Drosophila melanogaster: one gene and its partner. The protein of the gene in region 1 interacts with the protein of each later gene in a pairwise test. Each region holds a gene or a part of one and is shown on either strand. Other genes may lie near its edges.

The links.
Region 2: the proteins of CG3610 (region 1) and mbo interact in a two-hybrid assay, tested with the Drosophila melanogaster proteins (one large-scale study listed by BioGRID).

Annotation. Positions count from the first base shown.
Region 1 is NT_033777.3:14,842,144-14,847,757, forward strand, and holds CG3610 (uncharacterized protein), read left to right. Parts: upstream 1-2,899; 5' UTR 2,900-3,063; coding exon 3,064-4,530; 3' UTR 4,531-4,594; downstream 4,595-5,614.
Region 2 is NT_033777.3:12,675,442-12,681,951, reverse strand, and holds mbo (members only), read left to right. Parts: upstream 1-2,899; 5' UTR 2,900-2,950; coding exon 2,951-5,059; 3' UTR 5,060-5,465; downstream 5,466-6,510. Other genes in the region: Cyp313a4 (cytochrome P450 313a4), read left to right, coding at 647-800, 866-1,063, 1,117-1,302, 1,462-1,534, 1,578-1,704, 1,764-2,349, 2,417-2,577; CG43630 (uncharacterized protein), read left to right, coding at 5,696-5,842; Gnmt (glycine N-methyltransferase), read right to left, coding at 5,947-6,216, 6,509-6,510.

The DNA of each region.
Region 1 (5,614 bases):
ATACAAAGCACACAACAATTTATGAATCGGAGGATTGCCTTCTCCTGGTTTAAGAAGTAACAAGATTTAACAATAAATGAGGTGCTCTGGAATATCTGCTGACCTGCATAATGATTTTGTTCCTTAACAAATCTATCATCGGGCTACCAATAAGCTAAATGTATTTGATAGATTTGTTTAAGTGTTTTCCTAGTCTTCGTAGACAAATTATTTTCTGAATTTTCAATTTATTCATGGTTCCTTTTATGGAATTAATAGATAGATATTTTTTATTCATTGAATAGACGAAACATCTGTGCAAAAAATTTCCATTTCAACTTCCTAATAAGAATTTTCCTGCTTTGTAAGAAGCTCCAAAACATGAAACTATGAGTAGCAAATAAATTCCTGAAAGGCAAATTGATATTTTCATTTTCAATAAAACATAAACGCGACCTCAGGTCGTGCCCCAAGTGAACCGTCTGTTTGTTTGTATGGAAATTATATGAAAATTGCACTTGAAACTTTGTCTTGAGCTGTCTGCCACTTGCAGTTGAAAGTTTTTCCGTATTGCTGCCGTCCTGCATCTTTTTTCCGGAAATTATTGATAGTCCCGTCTAAAGTTACGAAGAAATTTCAATATTAAATGGATTCAAAGTTAAAGTGTATAAATAAAATAAAATCATCTGCACAAATCCAGCAGTCAAGTGCCTTCGAACTAGCCACGGGGGCCAAAGGGTCAAGGGGATAAAGTTTCGTTCATGTGGTTGCCCAGTGGAATACAAGAAACCCTATATGACCACTATATATGCACGGTACATGGCGATTCAAGCACTTTGCCATTGTGTACATTCCTCACTTGTCCGACATTCCAGGTCAACAAATAGCGAAAGGCTTGCCTTCGCTTGAAAAGGGTTCCCTAAATCAGTAGATATCAAAGGATGTTACAGGTGAAATAATATCTCGACACTACTTCTAACCTAACGTAGGTAGTATGTAGCTTGATTTAAAATCTAAATAAAACCCTACCCTCTCCTTTTTTTTAAGCATTTACATTCGAGACACATAAATGTTAAATACCAATGAAAAGCCCCGCGAAAAGTTCGTTGAACCAGACATGGCAAGTTTCTCTCCGAAGATGGTTTGATTAATTGACGATGACCTGGCTAAAGACTTAATGCCGAACTTCCGTGCGAGTGGCAGATATACTTATTATATCAATTAAGGTAAGCAACAATGCTTTCTATTGTCCCCCCCAGTCCAGCGATTCTGCTGTCTCATAGGGTCGGACCGCCACTTTCCATCATCCATCCAACTTAATGTGCAATAATGAGTGTCATGTAATGCCAGACGCGTTCGATTCGAATTGCCAACCAACCAACAAACAAACAAAACTGAACTCAACTCAAACAGCAGCTGCATTGGCGGCTAAAGGAAAATAAAAGAGAAAAACCCAATGCAGCATTAGCAACGACAACAAATTAACATTTTTCAAAACTTTAAAGCCCCGACATGCGTTGACACTTTCGGGGAAAATTGCGTACAATTTCAAATGCAGGCACAAAACTTTACGCGTAATTACGACACTGGGGAAAACAGGAGGAAAATATAAATGGCAATAAGGGGGGGGGGGGGGGCACAAAAAAAAAACAAATAAATAAAACAAACCGCTGGCAAATCGCGTTCGCTGCGCCGTTGACAGTTGTAAAATGGAAAGGTTATCCGGACCCTGGTCGGCAAAAACCATGGACAGCCAACAAATGCGTCGAGGAAAGTGCCTTCGGAAGCTGCAGCTGCTACTGGAGCTACTCATGTCCCATTCCCCATGCCCCCCCGCCACGAACTCAATCCCCTCCTGCCACAGAGACTCCGCCAATGAGCTTCTGTCGTGGACAGTGACTGATGGTCTGGGAGAGCTCCGCTCTTTTCTGCCTCCAATGATTACGATGATGATGAAGACGGCGATGACAGGGCAGCATTTAACCAGCGCTCAGCAGTTAGATAACTATATATAAATTATGGAAGCCAGACGATAAAAATCCTCGACAGATCGCTCTAGAACGTCTACCATAGTTTATAATTCTAAATATACGTATGTTGAAAATGTTTGATTGCAATTGTGAACAAATTATAATTGGTTTTATCTTATTTTCCAATATACTCAGTATTCTGTAAATAATTGACTTTTATTTAAATACCTTTTTAGCTCAATAGCTGTTTTAAATTCAGGAGAAATATTATTTCTATTGAGTGCAATGCATTCGAGCTCAGAAACTCAATCGTTTAGCTCGGTTGTGATTTTCCATACAAATTCGTATGCAAATTCAAAGGTATATATAGCCAATAGTCGGGGCAACAACGCGCTCGCAAGGGAAGCACTTGAGCCTTACTTTGATGCACATATCCCCATTAAGTTGGCCCCCGTCGAGCTTGTGGCTCCCAATGCGGCCATGCAGTAGGTGAGAGAGAGAGAGAGATCTCTTGGCCTCTTGGCCCAGAACCCACTCAAATATGCTAATCCACTGGAAGTCCACACAGACCTCCACAGACAGCCCACAGTAGAGTGCATGTTTCTGAGCTTCAGGAAAAGTAGTTGCATAAAGCTACAATGCCTTTCCAGAATCTCACAGAGGAAGTAATTTGAAATTACGGAAGGACAGGCTTTCAATTACGGTAAGCTAACTTACCGATATAAAGGGAACATTCTGTAATCGTGGGCAATTGACAGATTCTGTCAATGACAGAAAATCAAGAAAAGTGGCTTTATATTCGCAGCTTAAAAATATTAGCCAGCTCTTATCTGTTTCACTTAATTCTTCATAACATACTTGTAATTTGAATTAACCTGAATATTATTTTCTAAACTTATTTATCCAGCTGAAAACTGTCGTTTTTTAATATCTGAAAATTTTCTAGCAGTCTTCAGTTAGTCAGTAGATTTCGTTAGGTTACTAGCACAAAAAAAAAACATTTTGAGTGAACTAATACCACTCAAAACGCCTTGACATATCACATATTTCATTCCCAGTTAAATTTTCCTAAGTAATTTCTTTAAAAGGAAGTGGTTTGTTTTCTTGAACCACGATGGAAAATCTCCAACCGGAGTCGGATCGCGTTGGCCATATTGTCTGGGATGAACCGGGAGCCTCGATTTTTGCCACCGCCTCCCAGGAGCCCGTACCGAATCTTCTGACCGAGTTCAAACCAATGCCGAAGGGCGAGGACGACTGTGTTTCTGATAAGGATGTGTGCCGCATTCTTACACAGTCGTCTGTCGCGGAGAGCTCATTGTTCCGAATGGTCAAACACCAGGTGGACGAAGTGGCCGCCATGCTCAACAGTCACCTGCATCCGCGCCAACGGAAGGAGCAAACCGATGTGGATGTCACCCTCGGTGTAGCAAGGGAACTGGCTCGCCAGCAGGTGGAGGCCAGTAGATGCCTTCAACTTCATCGCAATGTGGAAAATTTGAGGGATCTCGAGATGGAAGTGGCCCGTGCCCACACAGCGTTGGCTGTCAAGAACAAGATCACCAACAATATCAAACAAACGGTGGAAGATAAGCAGCGGGAGCGGGCCGAAGCTTTGGCGGAACAGCGAGCCGTGGAAAAGGAGCTGAAGGAGGAGAAGCAAAGAAGGGCTCAGAAGGCAGCCGTGTTTCGTAGAGATCTAATGGCCCAGATTACCGAGGGGCGTACCAAGCGGATACAAGATCATCGAATAGCTGTGGCCGAGGGTCGTCAAGAGCTAAAGGAATGCAAGGAGATAGTGGAGCAGGGAATCCTAAAGGATGCAGTTACAAAGGCGCAGCAGCGCAAGGTGCTCCTCGAATCCCTAGACCAATCGGCAGCCATGTTGAAGCAAACCCGCGAGGCCTACGCTCTGGCCCAAAAGAATAAGCCCGAGAGAGGACTCCTTGATGCCCTGGGACCCGTTACGGCGGCCTATGTGTCAAAGGCACGGAAACGACGCCTTGATGAGATCGAGGCCAGGGACATTAATGCCGCTCGGCTGGGCTTCCAGCTCAGCCAGATCAAGCACGATCTGGAGTCCCGAGATCAAGTCATCACCAGTCTGCTAATCCGCGAGCACAAGGCCAAGGAGAACGCGAAGGCCTTGGAACAGGCTAGAACCAAAATGGCCAAGAAGCAGGAGATTCGCGAACAGCTCCTCAGCCAGCGGGAAGAGCAGAAGTTCTTCCGAGATAAGGGTGTGCAGGATGCCCTGGTCATGCCCAAGGATCCCATGTGCTTCGGCGAACGACAGTATCGAATGCAAGTGGCCCAGCGGGAGAACACCCGGCGCTTGGATGTCCAATGCTACCAGGACATGGCCCACATGGTCGTGGAGGCCAAGAATAACAGGAAAGCCGCTGCCCAGGAGGTGGTTGACATTGTACAGGAGGTCTACAACCAACAGAATCGCCAGGATGAGCTTGTGGCTATTGAGCGGATGAAGCTGCTCTCCAAGCAGCCACCTGAAGTTCTTTCAGCGCTCAAGAAATCCATTCTCACCGAAGAGGAGATCAAGTCTTTAAACCTTAAGAAGTAGTTAATGAGTTTTCATTTAATACGCGCTAGATGCCCGTATTAAGGCTTGTAGAAACAAAAAATACAAAAAAGTACTTTTTGTTTTTTTCTTCGGGTTATTATTAAACCTACGCCCCCCTGGATGTTGGCTATTATTTATCAAGTATACTACCTCATGTGAAGCAGCCCACTGGCACAGGATGTGCTTAATTTTCCATTTTGCTGCTCTGCACTTTTAAATAGACTTTGCTGGCGCTGCCGGGATGGCAAATGAAATTCACTTTCTTATCCATTCTTTGGCCAAGCTTTTGCAGCAGGTCAGGTTTCCAGGTTTCGTACTCGAGCAACCGGTTTACCGACATTGCAGCTGGAAATTTGTTTACAATAATACGGTTCGAACGCACGCAGATGGGAGCGTAAGTGCACTTTGAAACCGGGCTTACATACATTTCCTTTACTTTCCATTTCTGGACTCATTAGCCGGCTGCCGGAGGAGACAGGTTTATATTTCATAACTGGCTGGCGAAGAAGGCTCAAGAATGTTGGCAAAGTCAGTTTTTTGGCAACCATTTTGGAGCACTCTCTTGACGACCTGCGGAAACTTTCCCTGGCAATAACTTTGGCTCCAAGTTTCAGCTTCAATGTGCAGAAAAAAAGATATATTTATGCTTTCAGTACACTGTAAACTATCGAAAGAAACTCTTTTTGGGTGCTGCGAGCTCAACTAGTTCTATAAACTGTAGTCATACTATTAAAATGAAACATGCTAGTTGTACTAACCAGGAAATTAGGGAAATTCTTGTTAGATCAATGCTTGGTTTCTTTCAGTGCAGACTTATAGAAGCGACCAGCACAATCACAACCCAGTTTCTGTTTCAACTTAAGTCTGCTGAATGGTGTGAGGTTGTTTTGTCTTTTCGACTCTGGTCTGGTCATAGAGGAGCAGCTTGGTTGGCAAACTTTTTATGCCGAAACTTTTTTTTTGGGCCAGATCTTCAAGTTGGCCAAAAAGATGTGAAGTTGTGTGCACAGGCGTGTCTGCAGCTCTTCCACCTGGAAGAGCGTTACTGGCTCTAATAGGAGTTGAGTCGTCGTGTGGCTGCAAA
Region 2 (6,510 bases), 2.2 Mb from region 1:
CCACACTGTTTATGTTTTTAACTTGAAAAGCAAGTGCGCCCTATATTTAGACCTGGTCGCCCATTAAAACTAGCTTCAAAAAACTTACCCATCTTGTTATTCTAATTATTGTTATTGACCGTACGCTACCGTTAATAAAATATTTGTGTCATCGCACTTTGCCACCTGAGATTCGATTGGTTATACAACGCCATTAGTGGCACCCCGCCCCCACCCCCTTCAGATCGAAATCGATCAGTGACGTAGTGCATCGTCGTTTGCCAATTCGCATTCTTGGAGCGTGTGGCGCATGTCACCACTGGCCATTAGTCAAAATTATAGCTATTTGTATGCGCAACCCCCCACGTCGAGTCCCAATAAAAAAAAAACGGCGCGCTATCTGCGGTTCAATGGGTCTCCACCCGTAGCCCCTACGGCTTCTTCTCTCCTGGGAGGAGGAGAGTCAACCAGGTCGATTGCTGGGCTCCACGCGTGACAACAAATCGATCGATCGAGTCCCAAAGCAGTCAACACGTCCGGATTATAAAAAGTCGATTGACTGAGAATTGGCCAATCAAATTGTTGGCGCACTTCAAACCGATCGGTCGAAAATTGTTGGCACACGGATTATTACAATTGGATAGCGGACATTGGCAAAGGATTAAGCATGCTGACCTGGACGCTGTGGTGTGGACTGCTGTTCCTGCTCTGGATCTACTTTCTGTGGAGCAGGCGCAGATTTTATCTGCTAACGCTAAAGATACCGGGACCACTTGGATATCCCATTTTGGGCATGGCTCACTGGCTGATGCGCAGGGAAGGTGCTTTGGATGTTGTGATGTTTGTTGTGTTGGTCGGGAGTAATAATCTGAGTGTCCGTGCGCAGATATCCTCAACGCATTCGGCTGCTTTCTCGACAAGCACGGTCCGACAATTTTCTCCTGGCTGGGGCCCATTCCCTTTATGATTGTGAGTGATCCCCAAGTGGTGCAGGATATCTTCACATCTCCCCACTGCGTCAACAAGGGCATTATTTACAAGGCAGTGGACGATGGCGCCGGAGTTGGATTATTCAGCCTGAAGGGTGTGTGTCTATGGAATCGAGTGTGGGAGTTACTTAAGTGTGGATTTGTGTAGATCCCCGCTGGAGCATCCATCGGAAGCTGCTGAATCCCGCCTTCGGCCACAAGGTGCTACTCAGCTTCCTGCCCATTTTCAACCGGGAGACGGCCCTTCTGCTCGATCAACTCGAACCACTGCAGGATGACGGCGAGAAGGATCTCATTCCACTGCTGCAGAGCTTCACCCTGGGAATTGCCACCCGTGAGTAAAGAAGAATGTGTTGTTTGTTTAAAAAAAGACTCATAAATTATGGCTATCACGTTTGTTGTTTGCATACAAAGTGGTCGAAAGCCAGAATGCATAATTCAGTTAGAAGAGTCGATCTGATATTAAATATATGATATACTTATATGAAAGCAGAAACCACCATGGGCAGCGATGTAAAGGATGAAGAGAGCTTCAGGAGCAATTCCTTGCTGGGGCGATACCAATGGTGAGTTTTGACTTGGAATCGGAATGCATCTATCCATTAATAGCATCCTGGAAACCATGACAGATATGTGCTTCTCTCCGTGGCTCAATAGCCGATTTTGCCGGCAGCTGGCTGGAAAGGAATCGCACTACTACCAGGCCAAAACTGAGATTCGTCAGTTTATTCGGAAGGTGAGCACCTCCAACTACTCCCTCCGCTTATTCACTTACGAATCTCTTAACCCCTTTAGATAATTGAGAGAAAGTTGGCCGAGGACGAAATGGGAGCACTACCTTCCATCCAGTCCAATGATAAAAACCTATTTCTAAATCTGGTCACGGATTTGATGAGACGAGGAGTGTTTACCCTGAAGAATGTTGAGGATGAGTCGAATATCATCGTTTTTGGAGCTTTTGAGACCACGGCTAATGCAGTGTACTACACCCTGATGTTGCTGGCGATGTTTCCGGAATACCAGGAGAGGGCCTTTGAGGAAATAAAGACGATATTCCCAAACACAGGAGACTTTGATGTATCCTACGCGGACACCCAGCAGATGGTGTACCTTGACCTGATCCTCAACGAATCCATGAGAGTAATACCCCCTGTTCCTGTCGTATCCCGACAAACGTCTCAGGATCTGAAGCTGTCCAATGGTATAGTGGTTCCCAAAGGGGTCCAGATCGCCATCGACATTTATCACATGCACAGAAGCAAAAAGATCTGGGGTCCGGATGCGGAGACCTTCAACCCAGATCATTTCCTCCCCCACAACATCCAGGACAAGCATCCGTACGCCTATATACCTTTTACCAAGGGCATTCGAAATTGCATAGGTAACAGAGTGATCGCTAATTTATGACCATTGTTTTAGCTATATTCTTATTATTTCCTTCTGTTTAGGTTGGAGATATGCCTTAATATCGGCGAAAGTTACATTAGCCAAGTTATTGCGGAATTATAGGTTTAAAACGAGTTTTCCCTTCGAAAATCTATACTTTGTTGAAGATATTACGATGAAGTTGAAATCTGTGCCACTGTTGGAGCTCCAAAAGAGAACTTAAATGTTTATAGCACTTAGTGATTTTAAATAGATTATTAAAAGTTGTTGAATTAATGGGTTCTGTGAATTATACCAATATTAAAAAATAATAACATCTACCTTTTATAATCTTTTATTAACTATTAATCAATTATTCCATTTTTTAAATTTATAGCATGATTTATGCTAACGTCTTTCGTTGAAAAGTTTAAGCAGCAATAATTATTAGTACATTTTCCGAAAATGTTGGTGTTAGCGTTTTTTTAACAAATTTCTTGTTTCATGAATTCGAATTAAAAAAATACTAAAAAAAAATACTTTGCGGATTTCCGAAGACTACTATCACACTAGCATTGACTTACAAGCCGGGCAACGAATTGAAGCATAAACAAACGATGTCGCTCACCGATGTCTTGGAATTGAACAAAACGGAGTTGTTCGCGAAGATTCGCAATGGGTTGCCCGTGGTGCAAAGGACTCAGAACCTGCTGGACTGCAAGGACGATCTGCTCTTTGCCTGGCACGCGAAGGACAGCTGTCTGTTGGTTCGCAACTGGCGCTCATCGCTGGCGGCAAAGGTGAATATCCAGTTCCAGACACTGATTCCATCGAGCTTGGTGAGCCTGGAGGTGGACCGCGTGCTGGCCTCCAACGAGGGCTCCCTCGTGGCACTAAGTGGACCGCGCGGCGTTGTCATAATGGAGCTGCCCCGCCGCTGGGGCCCCGATGGATACTACAAGGATGGCAAGCCAGTGATCACCTGCCGCACGTTCGGCCTGGACACTCAGCTTTTCCTAAAAAACCCGCACTTGGAAGTGCGCCAGGTCCGCTGGCATCCGCACTCCGTGTCAGACTCCACGCTGCTCGTGCTGCTCAACAACAACACGATTCGAGTGTACAATCACTCCAAGTTGCGCCACGTGTGGCAGGTGGGTCCCCCGGTGCTTCGAAGTGGGGCCAATAACTCGCTATGCGACTTTGGCGAGCTAGCCGTTGACTTTGACATCGCTCCTGCTGCAAAACCACGTGTCACTGAACCAGAAACAGCCGGCAATAACGAAACCACTTTGGATAAGAGCAACAAAACCCTTGTGGCGGCCAAATCGCTGCCGAAACAGGAGAGGATAGAGTGGCCCATGGTTGTGCTCCGCGAGAATGGAAACATCTACATTTTGATGACCGGCGTGGATTCGGAGAATACGCGCCTGCAGGGCCCCGTTACCATAACGCCACAGGCACATGACAATTATGGACTGGAGTCCTGTGCCCTAATGATTATCCCATCACTTCCGCCGACCATTGTTATAGCTGAATCCAATGGAAAGCTTCACCATGCTCTGCTTATGGAGGCGGAGGCCACTGAGCATTCTTTCAATGAGGTTGACGACTCTGTGTTGATTGAACCCGCCGAATACGTTGTACATGTACTAGAAACTGTCGAACTTGAGCTGGGAATATCTGCACCCGCAACTGGAAAAGAAGGAGGCAACTGTCCCATATACTTAAAGCGGGATTTGATCAATGAGCTTCGCTACTTTGCCTACCACAACGCAGGACTTCATGCCGTTACGGTCAGCTTTATCGCAGAGCTGCAACGTTACTTGGAAAGCGAGTCCGATGAAGATCGTCTAGAGCTGGCGGTCTCTGCAAGTGCAGAGTACATTCTGTGCACAAAATTCGATTCCAGTGAGACGGTGAACGCAGTCTTTGGACTTGCCCTATTACAAATTCCTGCCGGTATAGTTCTACTGCTGGGCAGCGGTCAGGTGATTAGCCTTAAGCTGGTAATTGATGCCCAGCTGTTGGTTACACCTAATGAGAATAAGCCAGTTGACTCGGAAGTGTCTCAGCAGGAAAGTGGGCCACCGTTTGTCGATACGATTAAATCGCTTTTGCAACGTAGTGTTAACCAGCCCATCTTGGCGGATAAACTTTCCTCGCCATCCGCCCAGGAGAGCTTCGAACTGCTTAACCAGGCAATCGAGGTGCTTCGTGAGCAGTACCTTAAACGACATGACCTTGTGCGCGCCGCATTTACACGCCACATCAACCAGATCCAGCTGAAGAAGGAACAACAGCTGCAGGAGATCCAAGACCTGGAGCAGGAACGCGAACTGATCAGCGAGCGGGCCCACAAGCTTGCCGAGCGCTTCGAGGAGATTAGCTACAACCAGGAGCTGCTCGTCCGCAAGTGCAACGCTCTGATGCAGAGGGCCAATGCCTCACTACCCAATAGTGTGATTGCGGAACGGGAGTTTTCGCAGGAGGTGATTCGACTTAATAAGGTCACCCAGAGCCTGGCCGCTGGACTGGAGACTGCTAAGAAGACGTTTAACAAGCAGCGCTACCACATTGCCCAGAGTCAAGAGGACCTCAAGAAGAACGCGTACGAGCTGCCGGAGAAACAGCACCGCACTATCACCGAGATACTTACCCAGCTAACCGGGGAGATCGATCGCCAGATCACCGACGTCAAGCGCATTAATAAAATCGTTGGCATCTAAATTCGGATTGGGAAGCACGCTCTTAAGATTTCACCACGTTTTCGTGATAGTAAAGCCGTTGCGTAGAACTAAAACGTATTTTTAATAAACATGTCAATTAAGTCCTATTTTCGTTAGCTGGCTTCTGTTTTTTGTATTCGATGACACTTTAATGAGCATACGTCAGCGTTTTCTGCTAGACGATCCTTCATGAAGACACAAAAACATTTGATACCCATGGGTATTGTGCTACAAAGTCTACTACAGTAAAATCTATTCTTGACGTACTGTCCCATTTTCCGGATTATAGTTCAAAAAGTAAAATAATAGTAATAAAATAATAATAAGAATAAAATAATGAATAATAATAGTAGACTTCATACATCATAATTCGGAAATACAAAGTATTGTAGTACTGCTGTAACATAGTTTTCCAACTTTCAGCTCCACTGTTATTAGAATACCACAAATTTTTCTAGTATTTGGTTTTTAAAGTATCGCATTTCGATCGTTACTCATTTTCTCTGCAAAGCAGAACCCATTGAAAACGTAATGGAAAAGCATTTGCAAGGCTAATGACACTCGCCCCAAGAATTGAGGGTTTCGATAGCTATTGCGTTTTAGTGACAGTCTAAAGCGAAGTTCGGCGGACGAGAGATGACGTTGATACTACTGGCTGCCCTGTCGAACATCTACACCGGGATGTTCAACTACGTGAAGGCCAAATTCCCGTTCGTGATCGAGGCCGCCATGGTGACCCTGTGCTTTGGCTCCATCGTGGGTCGATTCTGCATAATGGTTTAGAAGAAAACTGAGGAGACTCGAGACTGTGCGAATCGAAGGAACTTTATGTATATTTATATGGATGTGTCTTGTGGCCTTATGTGAATACAACTAAAAACTTAAATCTAAACCTGTGGCTTTTCGATCAGGTGAATGTAGAAGGCGGGGTTCTTCACCTGGCTCATCTCCTTGAAGTCACCATACAACTGGTGCTTGGCTTTGGCGGAGAAGATCTCGGCTAGAATCTCCTGGAATCGTTTCAGCCCGTGGGGATAGTAGGACAGACGGAACTCACTGGTCAACTTGTTGCCAGCGATCAGGTAGTCCATCGACACCAGGGCGGGCTTACCGCAGTAGAAGAGCACGGATGTCTTGATGTCCGCCGTGTGACTCGTCTGCAATTAGAAGCAAGTCATCATTGGATTATTGGATTAATTGAATCGAAAGATGTGTAACTGATAAGGCGATTGATGATTATGATGTGTTATGTGGGGTTCACAAACAAGATCATCCGTTCTTATCACCGCGATGATGCGACAATATTAAGCTATTTTCACAGATAGTTTTTAATTGAGGAGATGATTCGCTAGAATTTGTACAACTCACTATAGGAGGTATGAACTACACGCTAATTGGATTAGATTCTACAGATCGGCATTAGATTTTAAATGGGAAATTGGTACTTACAT